Danio rerio: one gene and its partners. The protein of the gene in region 2 interacts with the protein of the main gene of each other region in a biochemical or structural test. Links are inferred from orthologs where the notes say so. Each region holds a gene or a part of one and is shown on either strand. Other genes may lie near its edges. The genes, in order: ube2g1a, uba1 and ube2s.

Region 1 (10,174 bases), on a different chromosome or scaffold from region 2:
GGCGGTTCATTCTGCTGATGGATAATGGGACTAAGCTGAAGGAAAATGAATGAATGAATGAATGAATAAATGAACGAACGAACGAATGAATGAATGAATGAATGAATGAATGAATGAATGAATGAATGAATGAATGAATGAATCTACATATACACAATATGTAAAATTTTTACCTAAAACCACTGACCTGTCATCATGTCTTTCGTGTATTTCAAATAATGATTAAATGTTTTGCATGTGTGTTGTTGCATGCACTATAAATTATTATTTGATGTGGGTTGCCATAATAACAAAGTTTATGGATTTTGATTAAATAAACAAGAAGTTAGACACATAATAAACTGAAATTAAATTAGAGTCACTATTCAGAACATAATATCATTTGCAAGCCATTTATATTTAGTTGAAAGTTGTTGTCATTGAAAGTACAGCGGTATTCAACCACAGTAAAGACTAAATAAGACAAAAAAAATCATGTTTAAGGTCTTTATTGTGCAGTTTCTCTGACAAGATGTACACTGCAGGTCAGATATTTGGGGATATTATGATTTGTCAGGGTTTTTGAAAGTCTTTGCTGTTCATTGATAATGTAATTGATGTAAAATGTAAGAAATTGTATTTATTTCTGTAATTCGAAACATTGTCACTCCAGTCTTCTTGAATTATTTTGGTCTTCAATCATTACTACTGGTTCTCATTTTATCAGTTCAGAACTAAATGTTTCTGCTAATTTTAGTGGATATTTTAACTTAAAAAAAAAACACACACACATACACACACACACACACACACACACACACAATTGAACTGAAGTATAATGTTTTGAAACCTAAATATATTTACTGTCACATGTAATTAATTTAATGTATCTGTGAAAATGATTTGAATTGTGCTCTTACTCTTGTACTCTTAATATACGACTGTTTCCATAAAAATAAATGAACATTGATAACAATCAGAAAAAAAATATATTCAGCAGCAAATCAGCCTATCAGATTGATCCCTGAAAGATAATGCAACACTGGAAACAAGTAATAACAGCAGACATTTCTGCATTGACTTTGAATTAGTCAATTGACTTTTGTTTGAAAGTCAAATTGAGAAGTTGTTTTAACTAAAAACTGCATTTCAAAGTTTTTATTTTTATTTTACTTTTGTCCTGATGAGCAAAAGAGACGTCTTTCGAAAAAAAATGTTTTCAAATAAAATGTTTTTATCACGCTAGTAAGAAATACACAACCAAGACGTTAAAGTGTCATGAACGGTTATGAGAGCTGTGTGTAAGTGGATGATTCTCATAAGGATCGCCTCTATCACACATTTTGACTTTTATTATTACGCTGTACTGTCTCCTAGTGGTTGAATGACACTGTACTGTCCTCAACAATCAATTTTCTCTAATAAAAATGGCACTTGCGAAAAGAAAAAGCAATAATAAATGTATGATTACAGATTTTCGCTATAACGAGACAATTGATTAGACTCACCTACAACGTCACTAAAGTGATAACATAATTAATCTCGCAGTCAATGCCATCGCCGTTTGTTAAAAAACAAGCATATTTGTTTCTGACATGCGCGAATCCTCCGCCCATAAGTACCCTGGAGCACACTCTCGCCGCGGCCTCGCGGAGAGCAGAGCGCATGCGCATACCGCATCAGAATGTTGAGCAAAACGGACTAGAACAGAGACGGGAAGACGCGCAAGCAAATTCAAACATATTTTTTCTCCTTGTCGAGGTGAACGTCTGTCGACCTAGAATATAACTTATAAAAACATGACGGAGCCCCAGTCAGCACTGTTACTCAGGAGACAGCTAGCAGGTAATATTTGAAGGCTGTTGGCGAAGGCAGGCTAACAAACCGGTGAACGTTTTAGCCAGCCAGTACACCCGAGACGGAGCATTTTAGCCGTTAGCCGCTAGTTTAGCCGCTAACAAGCGCTGTGTTTATCATACAGCATTAGTTAGCATGTTAGCAGCTAAAATAGCCGGCTAAAGGCAAGCCCCGTCGTCTTTTGTTATTTTAAAATGCTAGTTTTGTACTACTCTTGCTAAAATATCAACATGAGAGTTTTTCTAACATAATTAAAACAACAATACGCGCACGTTTGTTTAGTGTTATTCGGTTTATTCATGTCAACATAAGTGTCAGTCACTTTTTTCCGTATCACACCGGCGGGGCCGCTCTCGATCGGCTACCCCCGTGTTTTGACATCTGTGTCCGGACGCAGTTTCCGCAAGAGAACCAGTCATCTTATAAATGGAGGAAAAGTCTGTCATTGGTCCAATTTCTGCTCACTGTCTTATCGTTGTCCGTCAAACCAATAGTATTATCGCACGGTTTAAAGGTGAGATTTATAAGCCGTATATTGTGTGCCATTACCCCGCATCGGGTTGATCAAATCCCTTTGTTTTTCTAGGCTGGCTAGCAGGCTAAAGCTAACAAATTGATGGCTGCTGTTTGATCACCAGCTCACCGGTACAGCGAGAACTGGAGACCCATAGTCTCTGTCACCATAGACCTGTGCGGGAAATTGGCTCTTATTAGAGTCGTTATGAGTGTTTCCTATTGTTCTATGCCCAGCACACACACACTGAGCAATATGATCCGCGAGTGTCAGCTTTACTGAGCTCAACCAGAGGAGGATTTCTCCACTGGGCCCCATTTGCGCAGTGCAGCCAGTGAAGTGAGTTAGTTATAGGGGTCAAACTAGGCAGATTACCTGAGTTTGGGGGTCTGATGAGATCAATTAAAAAGCAAAACAACAGATCTGCTACATGACAGCTGTCTCTTTGCCACAGACAGCTCAAGCAACCCCATCCCCCCAAATTACTCATCTTACACACACATAAAAGCAACTCGCTTGTTTCTTTCCAAGGGTCGCAGGGTGAGCGGCACCCCGGGCCTGTCATGGCGTCAGGTTCTGCAGAGGCCCTGCGCTTGATTGACTGATTCAGGGGGTCAGGGGCTGTTTTGGTTGTCTCCTTTCAGAAGAACCAGCATGGTGAACTCATCAGCCTTGATCTAAACTCAGTGAACCCTTCGTGAGAACAAAAGCCTCACAACGTTCATTAATGTTGGCCCGTAAAAGATACGGGCCAGGAAAATGCGGGCACAACTTGTGTGATGTTAATGCCATGTGTAGAGAGGTTTTTTTTAGAAATCACTCAAAAATTACCTTTAATTTTTTACCCACCCCAAGCTATTAAACATGTTTTGAGACTTTAAGTTGAAAAAAAATTAAGGTTTTGGGTAAAAACATTGCAGCGTCTACTAGAGCCGTGTGATTAATCGAAATCTAATTGCAGTCACCATTTGAAATGTTGCGATTAGCTAATCACAAGAGGCTGTAATATGAAGATATATTTGTATATTTTTAATTCATTTATTTCCCGTCCAGAGCAAACGCGTGACTGCGTTTTTGTGACAGTCTTACTAGACAAATTAGTGAGCACAATTGAGTGATGAGTGTCTTGCTAAAAAGTCAATTGAAAGTATTGCCAGGGACACTCAATTTAGTAGCAAGCAACAGCATAGTACAACTGCAGAGTTGTTTCAGACATGTTAGTTTGCTGAGTGTTTTTTTTTTATTATTTATTATTATTGTTTGTATAGTACGCTACACTATCTCGCTAACTTAAGTTGAACTTGTTTACAGAAAGTTAAGGTCATTTGATTTACTGTTCTATCTTTGCATACTGTTTCATCTTTTTGTTTACTTTTTGTCCTGGGAGAGAGGTTGGCTTTTCTAGAGAAAAATTTGTGTTTAATTTCTAAATATTTAAAAATAAATTTGATTAAGTAAGTTAATATCTTTTCTGTTTCTTTTTTTTTTTTTAAATAACGCTCACTGCATTTTTCCTGAAAATTTAATACAACTACCAAATGGTTTAGTTGAACCCTGTTCACTAGCATTAGATGAAGAGTTGTTTCCTTTTCCCCAAAACCTTGGCTGAAGAAAGTCAGTCATACACTGGTTGAATGGACTGCAGGATAGTAAATAAATTATGTATTTTTTTGCCTTCAGATAATGTTCTGTTATTAAAAGCACTACTGTTATGTCACTTTATGCGCATGCTTTTGTAACTTGTGGGTTTTCTTTGCCTGTCAAGCTTTTTAACATACATTGACAGGAAATTCTCTGAAAGTGATTCCAATGATATTGTATATCTGTGGTGTTATTGTTAAATCTGCTGTGTGGACATCTCTCTTCTAATTGAATTTGAAGGGTTGGTAAACCTTTCTAGTAGTGGCTGTCATCCATTCTTGGTTTGAACAGCCCTTTATGCTATTTGTGTGATTGTTGCTTAGGGCTGGTCGATATGGCAAAACTGCAATCTTGATAATTATTTTGCATATTGAATGATAACGATGTATATTGCGATACCAGTTGTTAATGCTTCCAGATTTAAAAGAGTATTCCAGCAATGACTGAAGCCACAAAAATTAGAGGGTCTATTAAATGGCATAGCATATTTTCAGCCGATACTTTTTCAGTGGCAGAAAATTTTGGGACATCTCTAACATCAACACACTTTTAGATTCTCGTTGTTGCACATTTCTGTTGTGTGATTGGCTCTTAGATCAATATAGAGTAAAAAGTCCAAAGCTTATCATTGTTATTGACACAAACTTCATCGCAATTTGATATAATACAGTTTATTGGCCCAGCCCTAGTGTTGCTATAATAACACTTCAGCACTCTTATATTGGAAGTAGGTTTGTTGAAAATACAATTGAGTCATTTAATAACCATCAGATAGTGGTAAAAAGGTGGCTTTGACAGAAGAGACTCTTCATATGAATGCCAGACTGTCTTAGTGATTCATGTGCAAAAATGACACATCCATATGACTGGATAACCCAACTGTCATCTTGTTTATGACTACAAGGTGGTCATGCAGTCAACCTCCAGATATTCTGTTGTGCTCCTTCTTGCAAACACACAGAAGTTCAGAGTATCTGAACAAACAGACAGGCGTTCTGTGACTAAAGAGTCGCTCAGCTGATCTGATAACAGACAGGCAAATTGGTCATTTCTTGTCTGAAATGTTGCCCAGATGTAGGTCTAACTATCAGAACTCATGTGAAGGCATGTATGCACCTACTGCCCTGAAATGCCCCAATTTGCCCTTTGAGTAGTTCCATGCAATTGTCAACCAAAGTTTTCACCAAAATAGCCAAAAGTATGATCACATTCATAAACCTCATGTTTATTTTCCTCATTTAAAATATGTTTACAGATTGATATTTTCTGAGCCCATGACACTGTGGTTGGTTGTTTTGTAAAATATAAACCGATGTTTCAATATAATATTAACTCATACTTTCTCTGTGAATTTGTTTTACGTTTTTACTGCAAATGTCACATCTATAACACTTTTCTGTACAAAGTGGCTAATTTGTACCTTGATGTCTCTTCCTGACAGAACTGAATAAAAATCCTGTGGAAGGTTTCTCAGCCGGTTTGATAGATGATAATGACCTCTACAGATGGGAAGTACTAATAATTGGTCCTCCTGATACACTCTAGTAAGTCTTTTTGTTGTTTTATAAAATGTTATGTTGTGTGACACCTCACCAAAATTAAATTATTATCAATCAGCTAAAGAATTAGATGATGCAAAATGTAAATTGACATTATTTACTTGTGTAGAGCTACAGTATAGGTATTCTCACAATCTAAGATGGGTCAGGTCAAGTTTATTTCTTGATCTTATACAATCTACAATGCGCCAAAGCTTTATTACATGGTAATACACAGTGTATCAGGCAGGTAGCAGTGCAGTTGTAGTATTAAGTCATGATGCAATGGGAAATTAACTGAATAAGTTTATGTATTTGTTGTGATGCCATACTGAATCAATTTAAGCTGTTGCCTTTCATTTAAAGGTTGTTCAATCACAGTATTATAAGCCTTTTATATTTTTCTGTTTACAGTGAGGGTGGTGTCTTTAAAGCCCATCTTACATTTCCCAAAGACTATCCTCTCAGGCCTCCTAAAATGAAGTTCATTACAGAAATATGGCATCCAAATGGTAAGTTTGCCTCCTAGGGTCTTTTAAATATTTAATATATTTTAATTATTTATACTTTTTTACTATTTTGTCAGCCATACATTTAATATCGTTGAATAAATACACAATTTTTTGTGTTTTTTTTTTTTTAGTTGGTTGGAGGGATGGGTTGCAGATTTCCAAAAAAAATCAAATATGAATTGTTCTTATAAATCCTTTTGAATCTCTGGCTGATATGGAAACTGTTTCGAATTTACACTGACAGACTTCGTTATAAATTCATCCGCATGCAGGTTTTTGTTTGTTGATTCCATTTGCAGCATTGTGGATATTTTTGATCCACTTAGGAAATATCTAATAATCTGCCAAACCTAAATACTGACATGCTCTTTATTAGGCTAATAATGACATGAGTTTTTTTTTTTTTTTGTCATTTTGTACAACATTTTAAGTTCTATATGTTTCTGAAACATTTACATTTTATTATTTGCTAGCTATTATAGTCATGTAATAATCCTTCAGCCACAATACTTATCTTTATATAATATTACTATGTTAATTAAATGATCATCATCAGCAAACAAAAATGGTTAATGTGGTATATAATCCACATTAAAATCTCATGTCCTGTCTCTGTATTGTTCTGCACAGTTGACAAGAATGGTGATGTTTGTATTTCGATATTGCACGAACCCGGGGAGGATAAATATGGCTATGAGAAACCAGAAGAGCGCTGGCTCCCCATCCATACTGTAGAGACCATCATGATTAGCGTCATCTCTATGCTAGCAGACCCCAATGGAGACTCCCCTGCCAATGTTGATGCAGCAGTAAGTATAACGTTAACTTGTAAAACCAGATATGATTGCATGTTGGCAGAAGATCTTTACTTCATGTGTTAATTCATTTTTATCTGTTCAACATTTCAGAAAGAGTGGAGGGAAGACAGACATGGTGAATTCAAAAGAAAAGTTGCCCGCTGTGTAAGAAAGAGCCAAGAGACTGCCTTCGAGTGATATACATCTAGCAGCTTGTAGCTTCACTATTTTCAGGGTAAGCAAGTGGACTTTTGGCATCTTATTTGACTGCCAATGTCTTGTGAACTTTTTTTTTTTATTTCCTCAACATGTCTGAAACAAACTGAACATTCATCGTCCAAGAAAAAGTTTATTCACACTCATTGTTTTTTTTAATCTGTGACTATTTCTTATTTTTATATTTAAAAGGGGAAACACACTTTAAAGTTGTTAACTGCATATGTTTGCGCACTATATAAATAGTCAAAGTATTACAGTTTTTGCTGAATTGTAAAATATTAAAATCATACAATTGCCATACTGCCCCACCTTCCTATACAGCTCTAATCCTCTCCAAGCAGGACTTTTTGTCAGACTTTGCAGAGATCTGTTGTGGTAATGTCAACCTGTTAGAACAGGTTCATGAAACTTGTTTAAAGTAGAGGTTCAGATCTAAAGATTATTAGGTAACAACAGTGGCTCTGTTGTCTGCTTAGCCTTTTATTGGTAGTCTTTTAGGGGCCGGTCACACCAAATGTGCTTTTCAGTTCCGTAAACGCAAGGTGCACCACACTGCCTTTTGCTTACTTGAGAAAAGAGCAGTGCGCTAGGCTGGATATGTTCTTTATGTTGCTAGACGACCACTCTATCAATGGTCTTCAGGCTGGAGCGCAAGTTTGCTTTTGGACAAATGCAGGGTGCGTAAAAAGCATGCAATATGCTTACTGCCAATAGAAAACTTTTTTTTTTTTTTTTTTAAGTGCATCTCGCCACAAAAAATGTTTAGTGTGGTAGTCATCTTTTAAGACTTGTTTATAGATGGTCAGTTTATTTGTATGCTCATCAAAGCTCACAAACCAGTAGTGTTGTTAAATTCTATCAAGTATGTTAAAAAACTTTTCTGTTTTAATTTGTTTTAAAATTGTTTGGCAAAGCTGAATATTCAGTAGCCATTAGTCCTGTTTTTAGTGTCACATGATTTTTCCGAAATCCATTCTAATATACTGATTTACAATAGGGAACTCCTATCAGGATGCTCATTACCCTATACTGATATGACAGCTGTTTGCATTAATTTTCAGTGAACTATGTGTTGCTGCTCCATCTGAAAGCACGTGGAAATACTTTATTTAAGACTATGTTTTTAGTTTTATTAGTTTCTGTTTCTTGTATCCAATATGTGACTAACAACAAAAACAAACAAAAATGATGACCCCCCCCCCCCCCCCCCCCCCCCCCCCCCCCCCAAATGATTCGCATAGGCTACACATAAATTGGGCCGAGAAGCTAGTCTGCTTGTGGAAAGCTTCCATTCCAATCATGGAAACTGGTTCTTGTGTTTTACATTGTCATATTTTGATTGGTTTTTGCGATTGGCTACATTTTGTAATCATTATCAGCTGATCAATAGGAGCTTTCTAATTGTTCAAAAGCGTTTAAAAGAACAGCATTGATTTAAAACTTTTTTACTGTAACTTTTGTTTAATCTTATGCATGATGAATAGAAGTGTTGATTCTTTTCAAACTTTTGATGGCTTTAGGCTTTTGAACCAGCGTGTGCTTTTAAGTTGTGTTTCTAGAGAATAAAATCTAAGCTGAAGCTGAAATGTATCTGTCGCTTGTTTTGACAGGCGACAGGCCCAAATCAATTGAAATAAACGTGGTGATTGTTCTGACATTTGAACCCTCTCTAATATCGCTGTTGGTGTCTTTTACAGGTCTCCAGTTGAGAAACAACATGGCACTGTTTTCTTGCACTCTACCACCCTATTGCTGGACTGGTTTTCATTGAATGTTGGCAGTAACAGACTGGCATTAATAGGCTGCAATAGAACATAAGGCCATCACCGATGCTGACAGAACACACCAAGCAAGTGCCAACAAAAAAAGAGAAAAATACAACTTCAAAACAATTACGCTTTTTTTTTTTTCTTTTTTTTTCTTTTTTTTTTTTCAAGTTTATGAACTGATACAACTTTTCAGGAAGAGATTGTAAAGATGTGTACATAGCACAGACATAAGAACCGGATAATATATAATAACTTGTTCCTATCCATCCAGCAAGACTTAGTACCAAATAAAAATAGCAGTTCTGTAGTTAGAGTGTGACATCATGTAAAGTTTCTCGAAGAGTCTAGTTCATCTCCCCCTCCTGCCACCTCACAGGTGCGACTGCCTGTCGGTTTGAACAAAAGTCTGCTTTGGCTATTCTCACTCCTTGCGGTTTAAGGTGGCGAAGGCAGGGGTAAGCTATGGTTAGGATTCAAAGCATGCACGTGATGTTGGACAGCTTTCTCACTCGGGACACTTCAGGTAAAAATAGCTGTAAAGCACGGTCATTTTCTTAAGAATTAGGGGTCATGAAGGTCCTTCTCTGATTTGGTTTTTAAATAGGGTGGGTGGGGGTTGCTCTTACTTTGGATGACTGCTTTCTGAGTGTCAGATTCTCACCTTTGCTTTTTTTTTTTTTTTGTCCATTTGAGGCGGGGAGGAAATGGCAAGGAAACCCATCAGATGTGATTTTCTTCTTTTTCCTGCATGTTTTAAGTTTTTCTTTCCTGTTTTTTTTTTTTTTTTTCAAAAGTGCCTCCAATTTAAATCGCTTGGCTCATTACATGCCCTGCATCAAATGGGAGCTAAAGGGAGGAACGTGATTTAAAAACTGCTCAACATCCTCTCAAGCTTGTGTGAATGTGTGAGGTTTATTTTTCTTCATAACCTTCTTACCAGCATTCTGGATTCTTTTGGTGTAGCAATAACTCTGCTTTGCCCACTTTGTGCGGACATCTCAAATTGGACATTCATGTAAGATTTCTAGTAAAGATTCTCCCCTTTATCAGAGCAGTTTTTTTCATGCTTGACATCTTTTGTGTGGTTTCTTTGATAGGTTTCTTAGCCATGCTTTAAATGTAGATTTCTTGCAGACGTTTTCTGGGATTTCAGATGTGTGTTTAAGGGAGATTGAGTAAAATTGTCATGAAGAGGCGTGTGTGTGCGTGTGAATGTGTGTGTGTGTGTGTGTGTGTGTGTGTGTGTGTGCATGCCTGTGTCCCACTCTCTTCCCACAATCTTTAGTTCTCTGGTTAATTTTATTCTGGCTCTGACAGACTACTGCATTTCTTTTGCCTAATGTACAAA
Region 2 (10,625 bases):
TTCCTTAAATTAGCTGAAATTTAGATCTGCTTCAACACATTCAATAAATAAATCTCCATCCTTTAACTTGTTTCCTACTGTCTGTATACACTAATGCAATTTAATCTAAAATGCCATGTAAACCATCTAGAAACACTACAGCTTACTTTATGGGTACAAATCGATTTCAGAAACAAATTAAAGTCTGACTTGGATATGACTTAATTTTAGAATAGGCAAAGTAAAACATTTTGCCATCTAATTTTTTTCCTTCAAGAAATTCATTTATTGAGAATTTTTACATTTCTCTGTGTGCATAAATATCTTATTATATATAAATATATCTTATTAAAGTAGTTAAATAAGTTAAAAATAAAAAATTGTCATGTTATAGCATTTCTAAAATTTGAACCTTAAAAATTCAGTACATTCGAAGCTGATCAAATGAGACAGACAGGCCTCACCTGGTCTGGGGGGAAATTGTGCAGCAGCTGACGGATGTTATTGTTATATTGACACTGCCAGTGGTTGCGGGCCCAGGTTACACAGTCATCCCAGTTGCGTGGCCTGTCTGTCACCAGACTCTTGTAAACCGATTCCACCACCTCCAGCGGCTGAGCTCCAGGGAGCTTCAGTGTGCGCTCCATAAACTTTGAGTCTCTGGGGGAAGGATCGGAACATCACATTTTAAAGCGACAACAGCTCCAATTTTACAGGTTTTTTTTTTAGGGTGACATGAGCTTACGTCAGATACTGCAAGGCGTTTTCAGCAGGTTGCTTGAACAGTCCCTCAAACTCATCACGAGCCCACTAAAGAAGAGAAGATTAGATTCATGAAATTACCTGTATAATATTTTATTGTGTATGCTAGGTTGTATGTAGTGCACACTGGGGCCAACTTGAAGCATTCATTTTGTCATACTATTATTTTTAGTGATTCTAATCTGCAATTCTTCTGATCTTACTATTATTTAAGACGGATGGTTGAAAGTGACTGTAAAAACTAATTGTGAACAAAACAATTATAAATGAATATAAATTACACACACACACACACACACACATACATATATATATATATATATATTATAATTATATATGCTGCAAATCCTCATAACAAAAAAAGTTACATTTTGAAATATTCATACACGTTACTTTTCAAATGACCTTCATTTATACACTTTAATTTCAAATTTGACACATTTATCAAATCAATGCAGCTTTCTTCAGCAGAAAACTATTTCAACCAAAAATTAAATAAATATATAAAAAACTAAATAAAATTTAGATTAACATATAATTTAAATCGTGCTTAAAATCTAAAACCCTTAAATATTTAAATAATTAACTATATCATTCAAATATGTGATTTTGATTTATTATTACTTACACTTCCTACCTTTTCATTTATTACAAGTTGGTAATTTAACTTTTGGTTACATTTGTTTCACAGGTGCAGTTGTCATGTCTGCTTATTTTAGTGTCTTTTTAAGAGGTCAACTCACCCTCAAAGAAATAGTGCTCCAAAAAATGAAACATTTACTCACCCTCAAGTCGTTCCAAAACTTTACAATTTTCTTTGTTGAACACTAATGAAGATGCATTAAGGAAACCTGACTTTCCATAGTACAATTTCTTCCAAATACAAATACTATGAAAGTCAACAGTTGCAGGTTTCCACCCTTCTTCATATCTTTTCTTGTGTTCAACAAAAGACAAAAAGTCAAACAGGTTTGGAACAAGTGAAGGGTGAGAAAATGGAAAATGACAGGATTTTAATTTTTGATTGAATGATTCCTTTAAACAATGTCCTGAAGCACAAAAACTGGGCTGGTGAACCTTTCTAGAGAAATCTGGTGACATTGGTGTTAAGTCTGGGTAAGAGTTTATCAAAATTAATTAAGATGTATGACTTGTAATTCACCAGGAAAATAGTTCCAAGTTCATTTATTGCCACATCAGCAACTTGTGATTATTTCATGCCAAGACCAATATAGAAAAACATATTAAATAACTTAATTCAATAAGAGATTATACAAAAAACTAATATACATTTTTATACATTACATTAACTATTTTTATAAACATTACATTAAAAACAATCGACAAATAACTAAATGATCTCCATTAATTAATTCCAGTAATTAGAAATTTTTAATTATTATTTAACCCATGCCAGAAAAAGAATGAATTGGCATCAATGATTTGATCAGAATGACATTGGTTTTATGACACTGGAAAATGAAGAGATCACAGATAGAGTTTTTAGAAGTGATTACTGACAAATTGTAATTGGTAGTCAATCAATCAGAGCAACCCCAGTGTATACTTCAAAAAGACTGCCCATTTGGCAAAAAAAAAAAATTTCTAAATCGAGTTTGGGAATAAGGCTCAAGACAACATTTCAATATTGCTTGTCACCTGTAGGGTGTGTTCGATTGCATTTGGGAAGTTCTTGAGTGTGCAGATAGGAATGGACTTCTCTGGAGGATCCTGGCTGGAGCTGTAGGACTCTGTGATGAAGGGAATGACCACCTGCACGTTTCCTTTGGTGCCAAGAGTACCAGACTCCAGCAATGGCTTACGGTAGTACACACACCTCCGATCCATATACATACCTGGAAGGAGCAAACATGATGTTCAAGCAATGCATTTTCAACTGTGAGCAGCTGCACGATTTCTTAAAACTCTTACTTACGGGCATCTACATTGTCAAGAGCATTTGCCACTCCATCAAGGCATTCAAAAAAGTCATCATCATAGACCTTCTCCGTGTCCGGTCCCACACGGTTCTGGTGACCAGTGATACGGACTGACGGGTTCATCTGCTTCACTGCCGCAGCAGCAGTCTCACTCTTCATCTTCTGCTCGATAAAAGAAGAACAAAGCCATCAGCGATGTTATACAAAAGTAAGGCATTATAATCCTGTTTTTTCTCAAAATTCCTTCCTCAGTGTTAGAATGGGTCAGTCAATCGTACCGTGACATCCCAGGGTCTGAAGAGGAACTGTCGATTGAGATTGGACTTCTCAATGGTGTCCATGTCAGTGACTATGACCTCTCCTTCACCACTGGCCAAGCCCATCATAGCAAAGTTCTTCAGCAGCTCACAGCCAATGGCTCCAGCACCAACCTGAACACAGAAAGGGTCACTAAGGTGAACGCAACACATGCTAAAGCAGAGGTTTTTGTTCTTTTTTGTGTAAATGATACAACTACCTGTTGCTGAAGCATCAATTTCCTCTGCTTTAATATTTTAGTCTTAATTTGTCTAATTTTATATTTATTGACTTTTACAAATGGTTTTAATTTTTTATATTAATATTTCAGCTTATTGTCTAGCAAAAAAAAAAATAAAAATAAAGCTTTATTTTCGTAGTTTCAGTTTAACAATTAATTGTGGACTAAAGGCAAAAATAATCTAGCATGAACTATTTTTTTCAATATTGTTTGATGGTGAAAGATTACAAGTTTCTTTTAATATATAAATTAGGCTTTTACATTTTAAGATGCATCCTGAGGGATCAAGGTAGACTGCCTATATGTAAAAGACAGTATTGTTTCTCCAAAATAATGCATATTGTCAGTTCCAGGCAGGGCTGTGTCTTTTGTCTAACAAATGGCCTAGTGATGCTTTCAAGCAAGGCCCGGAAAACGATTTTGCTTTGAAGATATTGGAAAAATCCTCCTGGTTTGTCTCTTCTTCAAATTTACAACAGCGGCTTAAAATAACTAAAAGCGAGATGAAAAACAAATCTACAATGGTTTGAAAGCAAAACGTGGCTGATGTTATTGTCTGGCATTTTGTTCAGCACAAACCGTTTTGAATGAGCTTTTTTTTAAATGTCCAGTTTTAATTTTAAATATGCTTTATCCTTATCATACGTTATTTTTCTATAGTTTTCATACTTTCATCTGTAATTTTAGTATTTCAATTTAATATTTGCCAAAACATTTCAAATACTTTTTCCATAATATATATTTGTAATTTTTTCTAAGCCATTTAAAATGTAGTTTTTGACTGTATTAGTAAAAATTAAGCACTAAATAATTGAGGAATAAATGCATAAAAAAAGTTTGGATCAGCAAATACTTGCTTGTTTTGTTATAAACTATTCAAAGCTATTTGTTTGGTTCAATGTAACTTCAAGGTGACAAGGCATTGTGCAGTCCCTTATCTGGCATAGAGAAATCATTCAGTTTTGAAAAACAGCCAGTTTTAGATTCTCACCAGAAAATATCTCTGCTTGGCTAACAGCTCCTGCAGCTTGGACCCAAAGACGGCAATCTGGCCGTCATACCGGCAGTTCCTCTGTACAAAACAGATAACTGAATAAATTATTCTGTCTTAAACCCACAATCTTTTGAGCGAGCCATAACAATGCACAAATATTAAACAAATGCTAAAAATATAAAGCACTTACAGGAGCACACTCTTCCTCTGTAAGAATGACTTCCTCAGGCTCAGGTAAGCACTCCAAAGCATCAAAATACAGCCACTGCATGATGGGCATAAACTTCCCTGTGCAGGCCTGAGCAGATAAACAATAAAGAAGCATGATAGGTGAGGCTAACACATCACAATGCTGCATCTCACAGATCTAAAGTTCAAAGACAATAATGGAAGACCATATTACCTTCATAACCTCCTGGGCAGCAAGCCCACCAATAAAGGCATTGACGGGTGCCAGGTCTCCAGCAGCCACGCAGGCCAGCTTTTTTATGACTGCCTGGTCCAGCTCCTCTTGCTTGGCAGATCCTGTCTGTGCAGCATTCACCTCTTCAGCCAGAGTCATAAGCTCATCCGCATCTGCCTGCAATAGGACAGACAGAGAGAGAAAAATCACTGCTGAGTCACTGAGCCTGATATCCACAGTACAGCATTCACGTAGAATTAAAGCTCAACAGTGCACTTCTTGAAAGTATTAGACTGGGAAGTGGAACACTAAGTGAACAGAGAAATCTGGTCAGCCCAGTATGTTCAGAGTGGAATTAGAGATGGCTAGTTGGGATGGGATTTCCATTACTTGCATTATAGTGAATATACTTAGTTAAAAAAAATTAATAATAAAGAGTAAAGAATGTTTGCTAACAAATGACTGTGGGCCTGTCAACTACTTGTCACTTCACGCATTTTCGGATCGTTGGATTTCGGATACAATTTTTGTTTTTTCACCCTTTATGCTCTCAGATTTAAATTTGGGCAAATAAATGTCTCCACTAGATGAATATACTTTGCTGCATGCAAATATAACTAAATTATGTAGACTAAAGCAGGGGTCTTTAGCCCACAGATCACAATTTAGTAGTGTGTCATGAAAGAGCGCTGTTTTTTCTTTTCTGAATAGACTACACAACAAATAATTTTAAACTACTTATAGCAGAAAACACTGTGAACTGTAAAACATTTAGGGCAACACTCACAATCAAGAATTGATAAACTCAAACCTTGATTTGCAAGTCAAATAAAATACACTTCAGAATATAAAAATCACACCCTATTTCAGATGATAAAAAAACAAAACAAATAAAAAACAATTGACACTATAAAGTGACTAATCCAGAAAATACACTAGATGATTAGAAATACTGCTAGACAAAATAAAAGTCTTCACCTGATTCCAGGGCTTTGGCAGACGACTGTGCTTCTTCTCAAATGCATGCAGTGCCTGAAAGCCCACGTGGAGTTGGCCTGGACGATCAAATTTGGCAAAATCAGTCAGCAAGAACTCTGGTTCGGCCATGGAGGAGGACAGGGATTTCTGGTGAAGAAAGAAGTGCGTTTAAAATCCAGCAGGGGATTTAATTTATTATCAACAATCTCAGCCAGGGAATCAACTTACAAAGGCAATCTTCTTGGGCATCTTCACTTGTGTGACAATACCACCTCTCACATAGTCAGAGAATGAGCTGGTGTCACAGATGCTGAAAGTGTAAGGACCTGAATGCAAAAGACATCAGTCACAAAACACCCCACCAGATGGAAATGTAAACAGTGTATGGTTAACATCACAACTCTTTAAAGAGGCCTCAGATTCTACAGACATTCTTTTCGGTTTTGCATCAGTTTCTCTTTCTTTAGGAGAAGGGTAGAAACTTGATGTGATTGGTTGCTAAAACAATTGACAGGTGTTGCCTCATGCTGATCCAGTTACATATTAAAAAGTAGGCCAGCATAAATGTTAAAAGCTGTCAAACAGTCAGAAGATACCAGCAGCAGCTTAAAAACTTTAAACATGTGAAATGGTTGTCAAATTGCAGGTATACAGACACAGCCTCACAGACTGAAAGAGGAAATTAGTGAATGAGCTAAAGTACTTTCCAAAAGTCCATTCCGTTATCTTGCCAAACATTCTGAAGGCAACGGTTATCAATAGTATCTATCAATATAGTATCTCATCTATGGCCATATTCGAGGATCGAGAGAAAAGATTAAAGAAAAGAAAGAAAAAAAAAAACTATGACATAACTAACAAACTACCCTTTAGTTAAGCATTACATTGTAATGTAATTTAATGTTCATAAAATGGTTATACAATGCTACCAAGAAAATCTAGCTAAACAGGAATACAGCAAACATCTAAAGTGAAGCTATTACTTACTAGTCTGTTAGTACTAGCTAATTACTTCACAAAACAATTAAAAAGTCCACAAATTTTGTTGATTTTCTGGAATAACTACCTATTTAAATAAATGATTGTATTGGCTTAATTCTGAATGCATTGTTCTATGCAAGAAGAAAACATAATACAAGGTTATGAAACAAAGCTCCTAAACTCCATTCATCTTTATTTCTGTGGTGCTTTCACAACGTAGATTGTGTCAAAGCAGCTTAACATAGATGTTCTAGTAAATTAAAACAGTGTCAGTCCAGTTTTTAGAGTTGAAATTCAGTTTAGTCCAGTGTGGTTTAATTTTCACTGCTGAAAATCCACAAAACCTGCTTGCAACTTGTATACAGAAACAGCAGAATACAGCAGGCATCAACAAAATTTAATCCTTTCATCTGTTCTTGTGCTCGTATGTAAAATTACTTGAATTTCAAATTAGCAAGGGCAAAGTGGGCAAAAGATTAGTGTGTTAAGATACTTACTTACAAATCCATTAACTATCCATTTTTTTATTTTTATGCAACCTCTGGGACATAAGGCAGACCTTTCTGTCAAGCACTGTACAATTATTGCTTTTTTTTTTTTTTAGTTAAGCCGACTGGGCTTAGAGTCAAACCGGCTGAGAATTGATCAAACATTTTTTAATTTTTAGCTGACAAGGATTGATCTCAAAGGTTTCTGGGTCTGTACATTTTATTATTTTTTTTAACTTACCCAGTGTCTTGATCTCTACTGGATCACAGCCATTAAGTTCCGTCATGCCCTGCACTTCTGTGAAAGTGACATAGTCTCCGCTCTCAAATCCGTGCCGTGCTTCATCCAGACACGTAACCACACCAGCGCTGTCCTTTATTTATTTATTTTACACATACACAGAGAGAGAGAGAGAGAGAGAGAGAGAGAGAGAGAGAGAGAGAGAGAGAGAGAGAGAGAGAGAGAGAGAGAGAGAGCAAAAAGTTCAATCAGCCAGAAAGTTAACAAATAACTATAACTACTTGATCCTGCATTAAAAAGGCTCAATGGTAGAATCACACAGGCTCTTACTTTTGTGATCATTGAGATCATGGCGCTCAATGGCTGTTCTCCGTTTGTGTCGAATACTATCATTTCCTCCCCAAAATCACAGAACAGTTGCCTATTAAATAACAGAATGTTTATGAAAAAGTTACATGGAGGAAAAAAAAAACCTTAAAAAATGTCATATCTTTTAAATATTCATACCCAAACAGTCCACGTGTGTCTGCCACAATCAACTTGATGCCATTACTGTGGCAAAATTCCCCGATACGTGTCTGTTCATCAAGACTAGAGTTGGTGAGCACAACAACCTGGACAAAAGCATACAAAGACCTATTAGCTAACAGCTTCAAACTTCAGTTCAGCTATAATGCAAAGTTTAATATGCATTTAGAGAAAATAATTTGTAATCCTTATAAGAGATCAAAGTTAAAGTCCAGTGGAGCAATAGCAGCAGTACCTGAAATTTGGTCAGGTATTCATTGGTGAGGGTGCCAGTGTAGGAGGTTACAGGCACATAACTGTTCAGTTCTGCCAGTCGAGGCTGACTGACATCAGCACGGTTCTTCCCAAGATCCTCCTCACGCAGGTAAAACTAGGAACATGAAGCAAACAAAATTGTATTTCTACTACTGTAGATTATTAATGTTTATTCTTACACTTCCAGAAACAATATATGGATTTTTTTTCATTTGTTTATGTAGAGAACAGTACAAAAGTTTGGGTTTGGTAAGATTTTAAAAATTATTTTAGAAAAAGTCTCTTGTGCTCACCAACATTGCCTTTAAAAAAATCTATATATAATAATAATAATAATAATAATAACAGTAATATTTTGAACTGACGTACACGTTTATTCATTCATTTAATTTTTTTTTCATCCCAATTCTACAATGGCAGCATATCTTCACCCGGAATCAGGAGATGCACAAATTCATATTTTTTGTCATTATTACGAATTTTTACGACAAACACGTTTTAATACATTCATAACAGCCTTCAAGTTTTACCATCATGCTTTAAAAAATAAAAATCACAGTAAATTTTAGCATCAATAATGCCTAATATTAACTCCTGTATAGCAGTCCCACAACATTCTGTCACTCGATGACACACGAACAGCCTGTAAGAAATTTCTAGTGGCTGTGAATGACCTTTTATATAATGTTAATGTTGTTTGCGCGTGTTTACATAGATGATTATGGCCACGGTGTAAAAGCACAGTACAGTTACAAGCTAATTGCTACATTATATCATTTTAACATAATATATGCCTTCAATGATATGCTGAAGATAAATACCACAAAAAAAACGCAACTGGTATAACTACAGCAGTCGCCTTCATCAATCTCATATGAAGCAAGAGCTCATGATGACGTGTGCAGGTGTTGTAGTGGTGTCCCATTTCTTAGAGATAAATTTTGAAGCCCTTCCCCTTAACACTCTGTTTCAAGGGCCAAGAGAAAGGGGTAATAAACTGCCAACTTATCCAGCATGTTTTACACAGCGGATGCCCTTCCTCCTGCAACCCAGTACTGGGAAACATCCATACACTCTCACATGCAATGACAAATTCTTTCACAAATTAAACTTTTAAATAATATTTTCCTCTATTGAAATATATTTGTTAAACATTAATTCATGTGATAGCAAAGCCCAACTTTCAGCAGGCATTCATTGTTTTCAGTATCACAGGATCCTTAAAATAATGCATATTTTGTAATTATCTATTAAAAAAAAAACATGTCAATATCAATACTGAAAATAGTGCAGATTAATATTTTTGGTGGAAAAATACATTTTCCTCAATACAAAGAACAGCATTTCATAGCAAAACAATAAAAATCAAACTCAGATTTTTGAATAAACCTTTCAAAATCTGAACCCAAACTATGAATGACGGTGTAATTTAATTGTTGTTTGTAGACTTTTTTTTTTTAAACGTAATTTTAGCCCCTTACTCAACGCACAAAACTATCAGCAAGGGCTGTTTTGCTTTCACACAGTTACAGTTATGACTCATGACCAACCACTGACCTGTGATGAAAGGTCCTTCCACTCGGCCACTCCCTGATCGTGCAGGGTGACGCTTTTGACTCCACCCAGAATGACATTCTTAGCGATCTCTACCCCTAAACCTCGCAGTCCCGAGATAAGAACATTAGAGCTCTGCATACGCTTCATAGCATCATGACCCAGCACGTACCTGAGAAACGTATACTAAATTTAGCTTCTGCTCACATGATCAGGTTTGCTTGCTCAAAAAAACATTATGATACATCAAACTAAAATGCAGGCCAGACTCACAGCTGTCTGGAGTACAGGCCCTCGTCGATCTCAGCATCATTTCCATTCTTAGCCATGCCCTGCAGAGACCAAAACCACAGTTAGCAGACTATAAATAGCCATGCACATAACTTATGAAACTGGCTGCCTTTCAAAAAACACAAGCGCAGTAAAGAATGAAGATAAAATTCTCTAAATATGTTCAAGCCCCAGTGGTGTTCAAAACAAGTATTGACTTGAACATACGTTAGCTGGTGTGTGTGACAGTTCAGTTCTGACAGAGTTAGAGGAGGAGCAATGGGATCCCGTCTTCGTCTCTGATCCTGACACGCGACGCTTCTTGGACAGCGGCGAGCTGGACATCTGGAAAACAAGAAGAAATATATTTTTCGCAGGAAAGTGCGAGTAGTAGTGCCTAAATACTGTTACTTTAACAGCAATTTTCATGAATTTCATCATGCGAGTTGAAAGCGAGTTTACTTCATAACAAAAAGTACAGTCATTAAAAGCAAAATGTCTCTGTACAGTAAAAAAATAATAATGTTCCAGATAAACTTTTACATCTGGCATCAAAATGTGTTTTATTGAATTGTTTCAAGTCTACAAATGTAGAAATTACAGCCAACACATTTATCCGTCTTTCCTTTCCATTCCTAAAACAGGTGTACGTATTGGGCCTGGGACAAAAAACGCTTTCAAGGTTTCCTGCAGTTTGCAAAAGTCAAAGATTTA
Region 3 (11,287 bases), on a different chromosome or scaffold from region 2:
TATTTCTCCAAGTAAGGAAAAAAATGCTCTAAAACATAATATGACAGAATAAGGCTTATAATAGCGCCACACCACACAAAGTTCTGTTATTTTAAAAGAGATTATTTATTCTGTTGAACACTCAAAGGTGTTTTGATGAAAGCTTAAAATCCTCAAACCATTGACATCTACGATAAGATTACAGTCAATGGTTACAGGTTTCCAGCTTTCTTTAAAATATCTTCTTTTGTATTCAAATGTGAGAAACTCAAACAGGTTTGAAACAAGTGAAGGGAGAGTAAATGACAGTTATCTCATCAAGGGTAAACAATAAAAATCAAGATCGACTTAGAATAAAACTTATGGCTACTGAAAAATTATCTTTGCCATTTAAATGAATAAAACTAATGCAACAATATTATTAGTTTGAACAAATTTTGTCATAATTGATGGAACTAACTACAACCCCAGATTTTAAACTATACATACACATGGATATAAAGATAGCCCAGTTTAGTGTCTGTATCAAATTAAATTGTGATTTTACATATAAAAGCATAGTAATAGAGCTGCACAATTAATCGTTGAAAGATCGCGATCTCGATTGGAGATCTACAATTCTGCCAATCATATTTTTAAGTTCAGAAGAGAAGAAAAGGCGGCTGCACGAGTCTTTTCATTGTTTCACACACGTTGCTCAGTCACATTGACACCTCCAAATGATGTTGAATGAGTCACATAATGTATTTATAAGGTATGATTCACCTAAAAATGTCATTTTTGTTTTCATATAATGATGTTTTCGCGGCCGGGAAATCACACGTGACGAGCTGCTGACCGTGAGCTGTTATCACAGAGAGGGCGCACGCACGCTCTACTTAATGATAATTTAGTGAACAGAACCTGCATATGATGCGAGTAACAGGTAAATAATAATCAGTAATGCAACATGTAAATAATATTCAGTTTGTGGCACAGAGTGATCGTTTGGGAGCAGCGCGCGTAGTATGAACAAGCACTTAGCAGTCAAAATAAAACCGAAAGTGTGCACTTCATTTAAATGATCATATCGCATTTTAGAGTTATGATTACTGCAAGCATTTGATATGTTTTTTTTTTCTTTCATAGCGACCCCACAGTTGTGCATGAAAATAAATGTTTACAATGTCAGTATAACTACTCTAGCCTATATATTGTTGAATATAATCTGATAATGGCAAATGTCTGATTTTACCAGTGAATAAATTTGTCTAATATGACAGATTGCAAGCATATATCTCAAACATATTAATTCAACATCAGAATTATTATAAGTAGAATAGAATTATTTATAAAAACCAGTAGACCTACACACAATATTATTATTGATGTTGTGCTATATTGTTTTACCATTCCTTTATTTTACATCTACAGAATCGTGAGAAAATCGTGATCTTTATTTTGAGCAAAAATAAATAAATAAATCGCGATTCTCATTTTAGCCAGAATCGTGCAGCTCTACATAGTAATTTCAAGTGAGAGTTTCTAAATGAGTAACAATTAGAGCTGCTTTTTTTTTTTTTTTTTTCTTTTTTAAATAGTTGCTAAATGATGTTTAACAGAGCAAAGAGATTTTCACAGTATGTCTGATATTTTTTCGTCTGGAGAAAGTCTTATTTGTTTTATTTCAGCTACAATAAAAGCAGTTTTTAATTTTTTAAAAACCATCTTAAGGTCAAAACTATTATCCCCTTAAAGCTATTCTTTTTTTGATAGTCTACAAAACAAACCATCGTTACACAATAACTTGCCTAATTACCCTAACCTGCCTAGTTAAGCTAATTAATCTAGTTAAACCTTTAAATGCCACTTTAAGCTGTATAGAAGTGTCTTGAAGACTATCTAGCCAAATATTATTTACTGTCATCATGGCTAAGATAAAATAAATCAGTTATTGAAATAAGTTAGTAAAACAATTATGTTTAGAAATGTGTTGAAAAAAATCTTCTCTCCTTTAAACAGAAATAGGGGGGAGGGGAATTAAACAATTCAGAGGGTTTAATAATTCTGGTTTCAACTGTAGTACACATTTGCTTTCTGCGATATAAATTGCGACATGACTAAAATTTCACCAAATGACTTGAATATCTCTATTTGAAAAATAATTGATTCATTTTGATTGATTGGCATGATTTGGCAAGGGGAGGGAACCAGGATCCATAAAACATAATGAATTACAAGCATATAAAAACAGAATAGATCAAATCTAAGTAAAATAAACAGTAAATTAACAGTTTATTGCATGTAAATGTAAATTATCACAGCAAAACTGCATAAATGACTATATGAATGAGTGATGCACTGATCTTGTTTTTTTTTTACATGGCCAATCCAGATTTATTTAGCAAATTTATTCAATACCGATTCCCAATTATACATAGGGCTTAACACTTTTTTCAGAAGCTGACTTTTAAAAGCAAAGCCACTTCATTAATTTGAATACAATAATACCCTAGGTTTTACTGTACTGGTTTATTGGACTGTTTTGATGGTAAACTATTTAATTTTTATTTATAAATGAAGCTTTATGAAGTGTAGCTAGCAGAACTGGGATCAAATTGTCCTTCTAAACTGATCTGGATTAGATTATGGACTAAAGTCCACAATGAACAGGAAGCTGCTGCAACTTTTATTTTTATATTGTGACTCAGTATATTAAATGAGAAAACAGTGGGCATGGCTTGTTTTTTCTGCTGCAAGCTGAATGGATGTAGTAAAGTAGGCATTTCATTCAGAAAGATAGTAAAAGGGGTTTTGAAAGTGATTTCATTTCAGCAAAACAGATTGATTAAACGTATATATTTATTAAATAATATTTTAGTGACTGAACATCTTTAGAAATAGAAAGATAACACATTAAATTCATGCAAAATATTGGAAAAAACAAACAAATTACAAACTACACAATTTACAATTTGTTAATTATATTAATTAAATATATATTTTTTGTTTCTTTTGATTTTCTTCATTCTTTAATTTTGATTTTAGATTTTTCCCTAAACATATAGATTAGGGCTACTAATTTTTGGACTGCTACCTTAAGTTATTTTTTTAGATTAGCTCCAGATTTTGCTTCAGTACTGAATAATCAAATGTATATGTACAAATACAATATTGTAAAGCATCCTATAGAAAACATTAAAAAGATTTGTGAGGGGTGTACTCATATACTGGGCACTGTATGTCCATGTACACGCACATATTTAATTACAGTTTAGATTTATTAATTCAACTGGTAAATCTAAGATGTTGCAGAACCTTATATTTTAGGGCAGGGGTGTCCAAACTCGGTACTGGAGGGCCTTCCCTAAACACACCTGCCTGGACTGAGTTTGGACACCCCTGTTTTAGGGAATTTCTGACCATGAAACAAAAGGGAAAAAAAATTTAGTCAATGTTTGAAAGAACTTCAGAAAGAATAAAATATTACTTACCAACAATACATGTCTCAAGCCCAGCTCTGCTTTCCAGTCTCTCTTGAGTACATTGACACAGATCTCACCCTTGTGCCCAACATTAGGATGGAAAATCTTTGTGAGGAAATAGCCTCTGGGAGGAACGGCAGGAAAGTCCTTCCCAAGCACCAAACGCATCCGGAACACACCACCTGCATATGGAGTTCCTTCTGTTGAGCAGAAGACGGGGGAAAACAAGTTGCAAGTGCAATGATTAGATCACGGCTTTCATTGAGAAGAGGAAACTGTGATAATCTCTACTTGCCTGGGCCCTCAATGGAAGTGTGCAGCTCTGTGATGTCCTCTTCACTGGGGTAGATTTTGATCCCCTCAGGAGGATCTGCTGCTAAAGCTGAAACTTCTTTATAGACGAGTCTCAACACTTGAGGCGGCAAGTTCTCCACATTTGAATTCTGCACACAATAAAATGTCAAATGTAACAAATTGCAAAATTTAAAAAATGGTGGGGAAAACTTTTTATTTAGAAAATAATACAAAATTATTAATTTTAAGAAACTTTAGCCTATACAAGTTCATAAACTTGATACATAATACATACATTACGGGTGAAGATTTTGGGATCAGTAGGATTTTTCAATGATTTAAAATAAGCTCATGTGGCTCACCAAGGCTGCATTTGTTTAATCAAAAATACAGAACAAATTACATAATTGTGAAATGTTATTGCACTGTAAAATAACCGTTCAAAAGTAATTCATAATTTAATAATTTATTCTAGTGATTTTAATGATGAAATTTCAGCTTTATTATTTTAGTCTCCAGAGTGACATGATCCTTCAAAAATCACGCTAACATTAGTTATTATTATTAATGGTAATAGTAATAAAAACAATAATGATGGAGTAATAATTTCATTTGAAACCACATACAGTAAGCAAGCAGTTATTTGATAGTATCACTACTATTAAAATAAACAAATAAACAAATGTAATAAATCAAAATAAATAATATAATGGAAAAAAACAAGAGCCTAGCACATCTGCTTCACCAAACAACAAAAATAGGTGGAATTTCGTTCATTTATCCACAATAAAATACACATTTATTTAATTAAAAAGCAAAAACACGAAGAAAAAAAGTGGAACAATTGTGCGACGTATATCATACTGAGCTTGTATCGTCTGGTAATCAAGCACTTAACAATAAATTATATTTTTCGGAACTTTTAGTTAGGATAAAGTAATAATTACCCAGTTACTTTAATATAATGCTTTATTACAAAAAGTATGACAAATGCCACACAATTCGACATTAGTGATGCATTAACGCGAGAAAAAGTTAAAAAGCCTTTTGTTAACAAACGTTCGTAAAAAAATATTAATGCTGCATAATACAGTGCTTATAATTACTGTCAATTTAACAATCAAAGCATATTTGAGTTTAAATCACATTACTGTAAAGAGTCTCTCAAAACAAGCTGAACGACTAAAAAGTAAGACAAATAAACAGTAAAGCTGTTTTGTTGTTGTTGTTGTAATCAGTTTGATGAATCACTCGTAAACAATACATAATTGAACCTACCATTTTTAGGCGTGCTGGATTTTTTAATCGGCAGCAAATTTGTCCCAAAGGAGAACTTAGCAGAACTGACACTCAACCGGCCGATTTGACGGATTCGGTGATCTGTAACCGGACTGACGGAACAAAACGATAACGAATCTAAAAGTTGCAACCAATCAAAGATAGCAAAGTATTCCAAGACGCCTGACTATTATATAAATAACCAAAACCAATTTTCACTGTGATGTCGGTCGGCTTGCTAGTGCTGCTATCAAACCAGGCTAGGCTAACTGTGGGATAGCTAGCTATTCTCCAGAGCTGCCTTTTGTGAAACTTCAATGCGACGTTGTCTTCAGATCAAATATCTCGTGTAAAGATTTTTTAAATCCAACGTGGTGTTAATTTCGTCTGCGGTAATTGATTTGTTTGATAGCTAGTCTGCTGCTGCTGACGGCTACTGTAGCCTGTTATCAGCTAGCAGTCTTTGACACGGAACAAAAATACAATTCGTCTAAGCAGCAGTTCGAAATACGTTTAACCAATCAGAATGTGAGAAGGACTTCACGTGCTCAACAATTAAAGCGTTTTGACCAATCAGAAGCACGGGTTGTGCTGACGTAGCTGGCCTTGGAAACCACTTCGACCAGAGAAAGTTGAGAATGCGAAAGATGCTGTTTGCTAATAGGTGCGTTTGAAAAACTCCTGCCCTCCCAGAGGCAGGGACTGATGTGTGGCTTCAAATCGACATCCAATGAAAGACGCAGAAAGAAATATAAGAAAAACTTTAGAGGTTTTTTATTACTGTAATTGGTTTCTTCTAGTGCAGATCACGATGGAAGAATTCTGAAAGATTGAGTTAAACTAAAGATTAATTTGCCTTAAAATACAGTTTTACTCACTCAACAATTAATGATTAAAAAGCTACATAATTTTTATTTTATTTTATGTAATATTTTAACAACATGTAATGATTTCACTGTTTTTACTTTTTTATTTTTTTTCCTGCATTCTGTATAAAATGTCAAATATTCCTTGTTTTTTATTTGGCTTTTTTTTTTTTTTTTTTTTTTTGATAATTCAGTTGCCATCATTTTGTTATTGATAATCGAACGAGGGTGTGGCAAACAATTTACCTTATTTCTTATTTAATTTCAATTTCATTTATAAAACACTTTAAAACAGTTGAAAGTGCTGACAATAGAGAGTAAAACAAAGCGTAGCACTTATTATAATGTCCACCTTGTTACTCCTGTCTAACTATATAGTTTTTTCATGGTAATAAATAAAATCAATACACATTACAAATGTTTTTTGGTTACTTGCATCCAAAGAACTAACCAACAGGATTTAATGGCATTGCAGTCTCGAAATACATTACATTTACAAAGTGCCATATAACAAGTCTTTTTTGAGATAATTCTTGTTTAGTAATACCTTTAAAAAATACTATTGCTATACTATACTATTGGTAAAGTGAAAAACATTTTAGCTCCTAGAAAATGTAAATATTACATAAACTATTTATTTGAAACACCTTCTAAAAGATATGAGAATTTTCTGTAATGGGGACATTTAGCCTGTGTTACATGTGAAAATTCTGTAAAAAATGATAAACCGTAATATCCTTAGCTGCACCTGTATATTTTTCTTATAGTTTAATAAGTTCTCCTTCGACTGAAATTTAATCTTGGAAAATAAAACATTTTTTTCAGGGACAGTAACTACCCTAAAATGTCACTGCATAGTTGCACGGTTTCAAAATATCATGGTATTGTGGCTCCAAAACATGTTCTTTTTAAATGTCTGGTTTAAAAAAAATAAAATAAAATTTGGAACAAACATATTTTATTTTGAGAAACATTTAAAATATTTTGGAACAGTAAACATGTCAGATTAAATAATTCATTAAATCACAGATTTATATACAATTTAAAATTGCATCTTTGGATATCTTTTCTGCTGGAGGTACTGTTGTACAAAAAACAAAAACAAAAAAGTAAAACAAAAATCTTACATACTGTAGGAACAGTATAGCAGAACATCTGAACAACTGTTCCAAACCACAGTATACCTTAAAAACGGTTTTCGTCCCATGCCTGAAATATACACAAAACTACATTTCAATTAGTACAACTGCTGTTTGCAGCACAAAAATAATAATGTTAATGCAAAATAAGAAAAGAACGTACTTTATTAACTATTATTTATATTCTTTGTTTGCAGTATATGGTGCTGGACACAAATCTGTAGTTTGATATTAATTGGTCTGTTTTTACTTATAAACAATTATATGGAGACTATATGAGCTGAAATCTTAATGATATTTTTTTCTTAATTTGTAAGTAAGTTTTACAGTAAAAAAATCTAGTTGGAAACACTTGTTTTGTTAACAAAACTACCGGAGGTCTATCATATTATTGAGGATGAAACCTGCAAAAATAAATTACACAAATGTTGGGGGAATAAGAAAATGCATGTTGACCTGAGGAAAAGTACAGAACTTTCTGTTTAGCATTTTCTCATTCCCCCAACACTCATGTAATTTATTTAATTGTTTTCTGCCCACACTATTATTTATTTAAATATTTATTTATGCATGAAATTGAGGATTTATATATACATTTATTTATTTGAATCTTTATTTACAAATTTATTTTATATTTGCATATTATTTATTGATTAATTTGGCTGAAAGACAGAGAAAATATGACTCCATTTCAAATATGAAATATGAAACACTCAACAAATATGTATTTACACGTTTACATAAGTAAAAAATCAGTTAAATGGGCTCAATTCTGTTTACAAATTTCTCTCTTTCTTTGTGTGTATACACACAAAACTTTAGGTTTTTGAGATGAACATATACTTACTACTGTAATGAAGACATTTTCCCTGACATTTATGTTGTCATAAATATTGTTACTGGTTCTGTTGCCAGTGCTGTATTTTGCAGGCTATATACGTTTAAAGAGTGTATAGTAGCATTCCTTTATGTCAAATGTCTCTGAATTACTGTTTATATGTAAGCTGCAATGTATATGGACCATGTAAAATCCTCTCACGCATCGCTCATCCGTAAATGCTGTTGTGACAATAAAGTGAGTTGAGTTGGGTTGAATGTAAAATAGCCAATAGTATCTGGATGCAGCCTTTATGATGCAAGCTGAGATTGCATGCCTCAGCGATGCAGTGTCAGACACTGCACTCAAATGTAACGAGTGACGTCACTGTGATGGTATAGGGGTGGGGTTCGGTGAGCCTATTAAAAAGCTTTGGATGCAGCCCAGATTGCAACTAATAGTTTTATTCATTAATAAATTAATTTTGTCGTTATAAGGAAAACGGAAATGCCTTACTATGAAATGAAAGAAATGAATTGCTGAAATGCAGCTGGATATAAAAAGAAAAAAAACTCAAAAAATAATAATGTTGCAGTATTTCAAGACGGCCGCCAGAGAGCACTCAAAGGCTAAGTATGCTGGATCATTTACTAAATATCAGTATTTAGAATCCATTAGTTAATGCCTAATCATTTAGCTTCTTTAAAATTGTTGTTGCCATAGAAACATTCTGACAGAATCAGTTATTTGCCTTATTTAAAAAAGAACATCTTACAAGAACATCTTACAATCCACTCATCCTGTGGTCATCTGCAGATGCATTGTCTGTAAGTTTATCATCTGTTTGTGTTTATATTCTATCTCAGATATTATTGGTATGCATAGATAACTATTTATGTACATCTTTTACATAGTTTCACTCAGTTTCAACATACTCAATGTGGCATAAAAATAAAGCAGCATTCTTCCACAATCTCACGTCTTGGAAAGAGTTTATCTGTCAGTCTAACTTTGGGAAGAACACTAAGGCTACACATTGTTCTGAGATTATTGCTGCTCTTCTTTTTAGTCTTCTATATGTTCTGTTTTTAGCAGTTAAAAAGCATGTGTCCACAATATAATAAGTTTATATTGGACAACATACACAGCAAAATATGGGGACCCAAAACAACTCTATGGGTGTTAATTTCAACACTTTGAAAGTGTCTCATGGGGTCCACTCAAAACAAAGTTAAATCAACACTTTCAAAAGGGTTGGCACATTGACACCGAAGTAAGGGTTAATTTTAACTCTGGGCAGAGTTAAAAAATTTAACTATATTTAACACTGCCTGGTGTAATATATTGTTATTTTATTCAACTCTCTTGAGTGTAAATATGGTAAAAAGGTCAAATAGACTGTAAATTACAAAAGAAAAAACATTTTATTTGAAAACATTCACCACTTCAACAATTCATTCAGTTTTTAAAATGCAACAATGTCAAATATGCTTTAAATGTTTTATTAGTACAGACAGTATCAACAAAATATGTATGACCAGTGCTCAAAAAGGCTGTTTCAGTCCTTTGGTCCAAACTTGATGTGTTATCAGAGCAATTTGAAAGTTCAATATATCGTCACTCATAGTTTACTTCTGAACTCATAGTTTTCTTCTGAAATTACATTTTAAACAACTTGGCGTGCAAATCTTTCACTTCTGGTGTTTCCTTGGTCCTCCATATTAAACACAGCAGTTTAAATGAAGGTATAAATGCTGTAAACTTGTGTGAAAACAAACTGGAGCTAGGAAATCTCATCAAGCATGTCCTGTGAATGAAGTGCTTCCCAGCCACAGGATGACCTTTTTATCCATGACGATGTATCAGCTGCTGATCGCTCGTCTGGTGGTTCCTGATGCACGGATATAGGGTGATGCTTATCCAAGAACTCTTCAAGACTCCAGCATGACTAAGAAAAATGTTTGAAAACAAACTGCAATCAAATTCTATGATATATTTAAAAGAACATTTAAAGTAAATAAAACATTCAAGAAATCTAAACTCACCTTTTGAAAATCTTCATGATGATCCACAACTTGACTCTCCCAGCTGGTTGATGTGACAGGATATGGAAAAGTAGAAAAAACACATATATCACTGTTGGATCTCCAAAAACAATTAGGTTAACCACTATGACTAGAACTGGAAAAACAGGCAGCTGTCTGTCCAGAATCCTGAATTTAACACAACACTTGGAGCAAAATTTAGAGGAGCTTAAAATCTTTTATATCATTTAGTGATGCTGACTTCCCCAAAATATTGGCCACAGTGTAAAAAATATTCATAAACTTCATAAACAACAGTTTTCTGTAAGCGTGTGCGTGCGTGTGTGTGTGTGCGTGTTTCTTTACCAGATTCAACTTGTTAGGCCCTTTCAGGTCCAGTATTGAGGCCACCTTTACTGGAGTCTAGCAGATGTTTCAGGTCCAAATATAACCTAAAATATTAGGATAAGCAGAAGAGGAAAAGTGCAAAGTAAAGAGCAAAACATTATTTAAATAACAGTTCACCCACAATACAAAACTTATCACCTTCATGTCATTCATTATTCTCTAATGCTCTAATACCCTCTCAGCTTATTGTGAAACAAATACAGAACTTTATCAAACATACCTTCATTATTATCACCACATATGACCAAGAAGGTGTGCTTGGTAATTTCACCAACTCTGGAAATACACCATCCGTCTCTAATCAGCCACCGTCACAGGGTCTTGTGTTATTGTATAGAGAACTGTGGCTGTTAAAAAAACAACAAAAAATTAGTATCTAACACATATGCATAACCTTCAGATAAAAGGAGAGATGAACATCACAAAGTATGCCTCACACTTTTTCAGATATCTTTTGATTCAGATGTTGATTATTGATAATAAATCTACAAATCAAACCTGTATCATCATTAGGCTGCTCAAATATGAATCAGTTGATTAATTTTACAGACAGGTGGCTGTTTACAACGCACTAAATTGTCTTTAATAAAAAGGAAATGTTGTGTACAGTAAGTTTAGCCTATAGTTTTAAGCACAATATCATGCGGGAGAAAAAGCTTGACTAAGATGTTCCTGACAACAGAAATAGCCTAACTTACTAACGTCAGACATCCCGAGTTGGGAAAAGTAATTTTCGGGGGATACAGAGTTGATTTGCGGGAGGTAGCGGGAGAAATGAGTACCTAAAGAACAATGGGATGACTTGCGCGCGACGTACCTAAAGAGCGGTGGGGGTGACTTGCGCGCGACGTACCTGAAGAGCTGGGAGGGATGCGGTGGAGAGGGGTGTGCAAAGTGTTTAATGACCGGGCGGGAGACGCGCGATTTCCGGGAGATTATCATTCATTTGCGGGCATCTACTTAGGCATCTGGGAGTCTCTGTGCATTTGCGGGATAACGTTAATGTTAGTCCCACAAC

The links.
Region 1: of the proteins of uba1 (region 2) and ube2g1a, one has a biochemical effect on the other in vitro, tested with the Homo sapiens proteins (3 studies listed by BioGRID, with this or other methods). The link is inferred for Danio rerio from reciprocal best matches to the Homo sapiens genes UBA1 and UBE2G1.
Region 3: of the proteins of uba1 (region 2) and ube2s, one has a biochemical effect on the other in vitro, tested with the Homo sapiens proteins (8 studies listed by BioGRID, with this or other methods). The link is inferred for Danio rerio from reciprocal best matches to the Homo sapiens genes UBA1 and UBE2S.

The regions. Positions count from the first base shown.
Region 1 is NC_133180.1:31,603,003-31,613,176, forward strand, and holds the start of ube2g1a (ubiquitin-conjugating enzyme E2 G1a), read left to right. Parts: upstream 1-1,660; 5' UTR 1,661-1,778; coding exon 1,779-1,824; exon of another isoform or gene 1,825-2,350; intron 2,351-2,422; exon of another isoform or gene 2,423-5,432; coding exon 5,433-5,535; intron 5,536-5,943; coding exon 5,944-6,041; intron 6,042-6,671; coding exon 6,672-6,850; intron 6,851-6,949; coding exon 6,950-7,036; 3' UTR 7,037-7,073; intron 7,074-8,754; 3' UTR 8,755-10,174. UniProt on the Homo sapiens protein: Accepts ubiquitin from the E1 complex and catalyzes its covalent attachment to other proteins. In vitro catalyzes 'Lys-48'-, as well as 'Lys-63'-linked polyubiquitination. May be involved in degradation of muscle-specific proteins.
Region 2 is NC_133198.1:23,552,964-23,563,588, reverse strand, and holds part of uba1 (ubiquitin-like modifier-activating enzyme 1), read right to left. Parts: intron 10,257-10,625; coding exon 10,140-10,256; intron 9,974-10,139; coding exon 9,915-9,973; intron 9,814-9,914; coding exon 9,645-9,813; intron 8,203-9,644; coding exon 8,068-8,202; intron 7,919-8,067; coding exon 7,812-7,918; intron 7,726-7,811; coding exon 7,635-7,725; intron 7,438-7,634; coding exon 7,305-7,437; intron 5,921-7,304; coding exon 5,823-5,920; intron 5,742-5,822; coding exon 5,595-5,741; intron 4,794-5,594; coding exon 4,617-4,793; intron 4,512-4,616; coding exon 4,404-4,511; intron 4,292-4,403; coding exon 4,211-4,291; intron 3,113-4,210; coding exon 2,960-3,112; intron 2,844-2,959; coding exon 2,678-2,843; intron 2,598-2,677; coding exon 2,401-2,597; intron 790-2,400; coding exon 725-789; intron 640-724; coding exon 444-639; intron 1-443. UniProt on the Homo sapiens protein: Catalyzes the first step in ubiquitin conjugation to mark cellular proteins for degradation through the ubiquitin-proteasome system.
Region 3 is NC_133191.1:14,028,747-14,040,033, forward strand, and holds the start of ube2s (ubiquitin-conjugating enzyme E2 S), read right to left. Parts: upstream 5,499-11,287; 5' UTR 5,019-5,498; coding exon 5,016-5,018; intron 3,887-5,015; coding exon 3,739-3,886; intron 3,644-3,738; coding exon 3,453-3,643; intron 1-3,452. UniProt on the Homo sapiens protein: Accepts ubiquitin from the E1 complex and catalyzes its covalent attachment to other proteins. Catalyzes 'Lys-11'-linked polyubiquitination.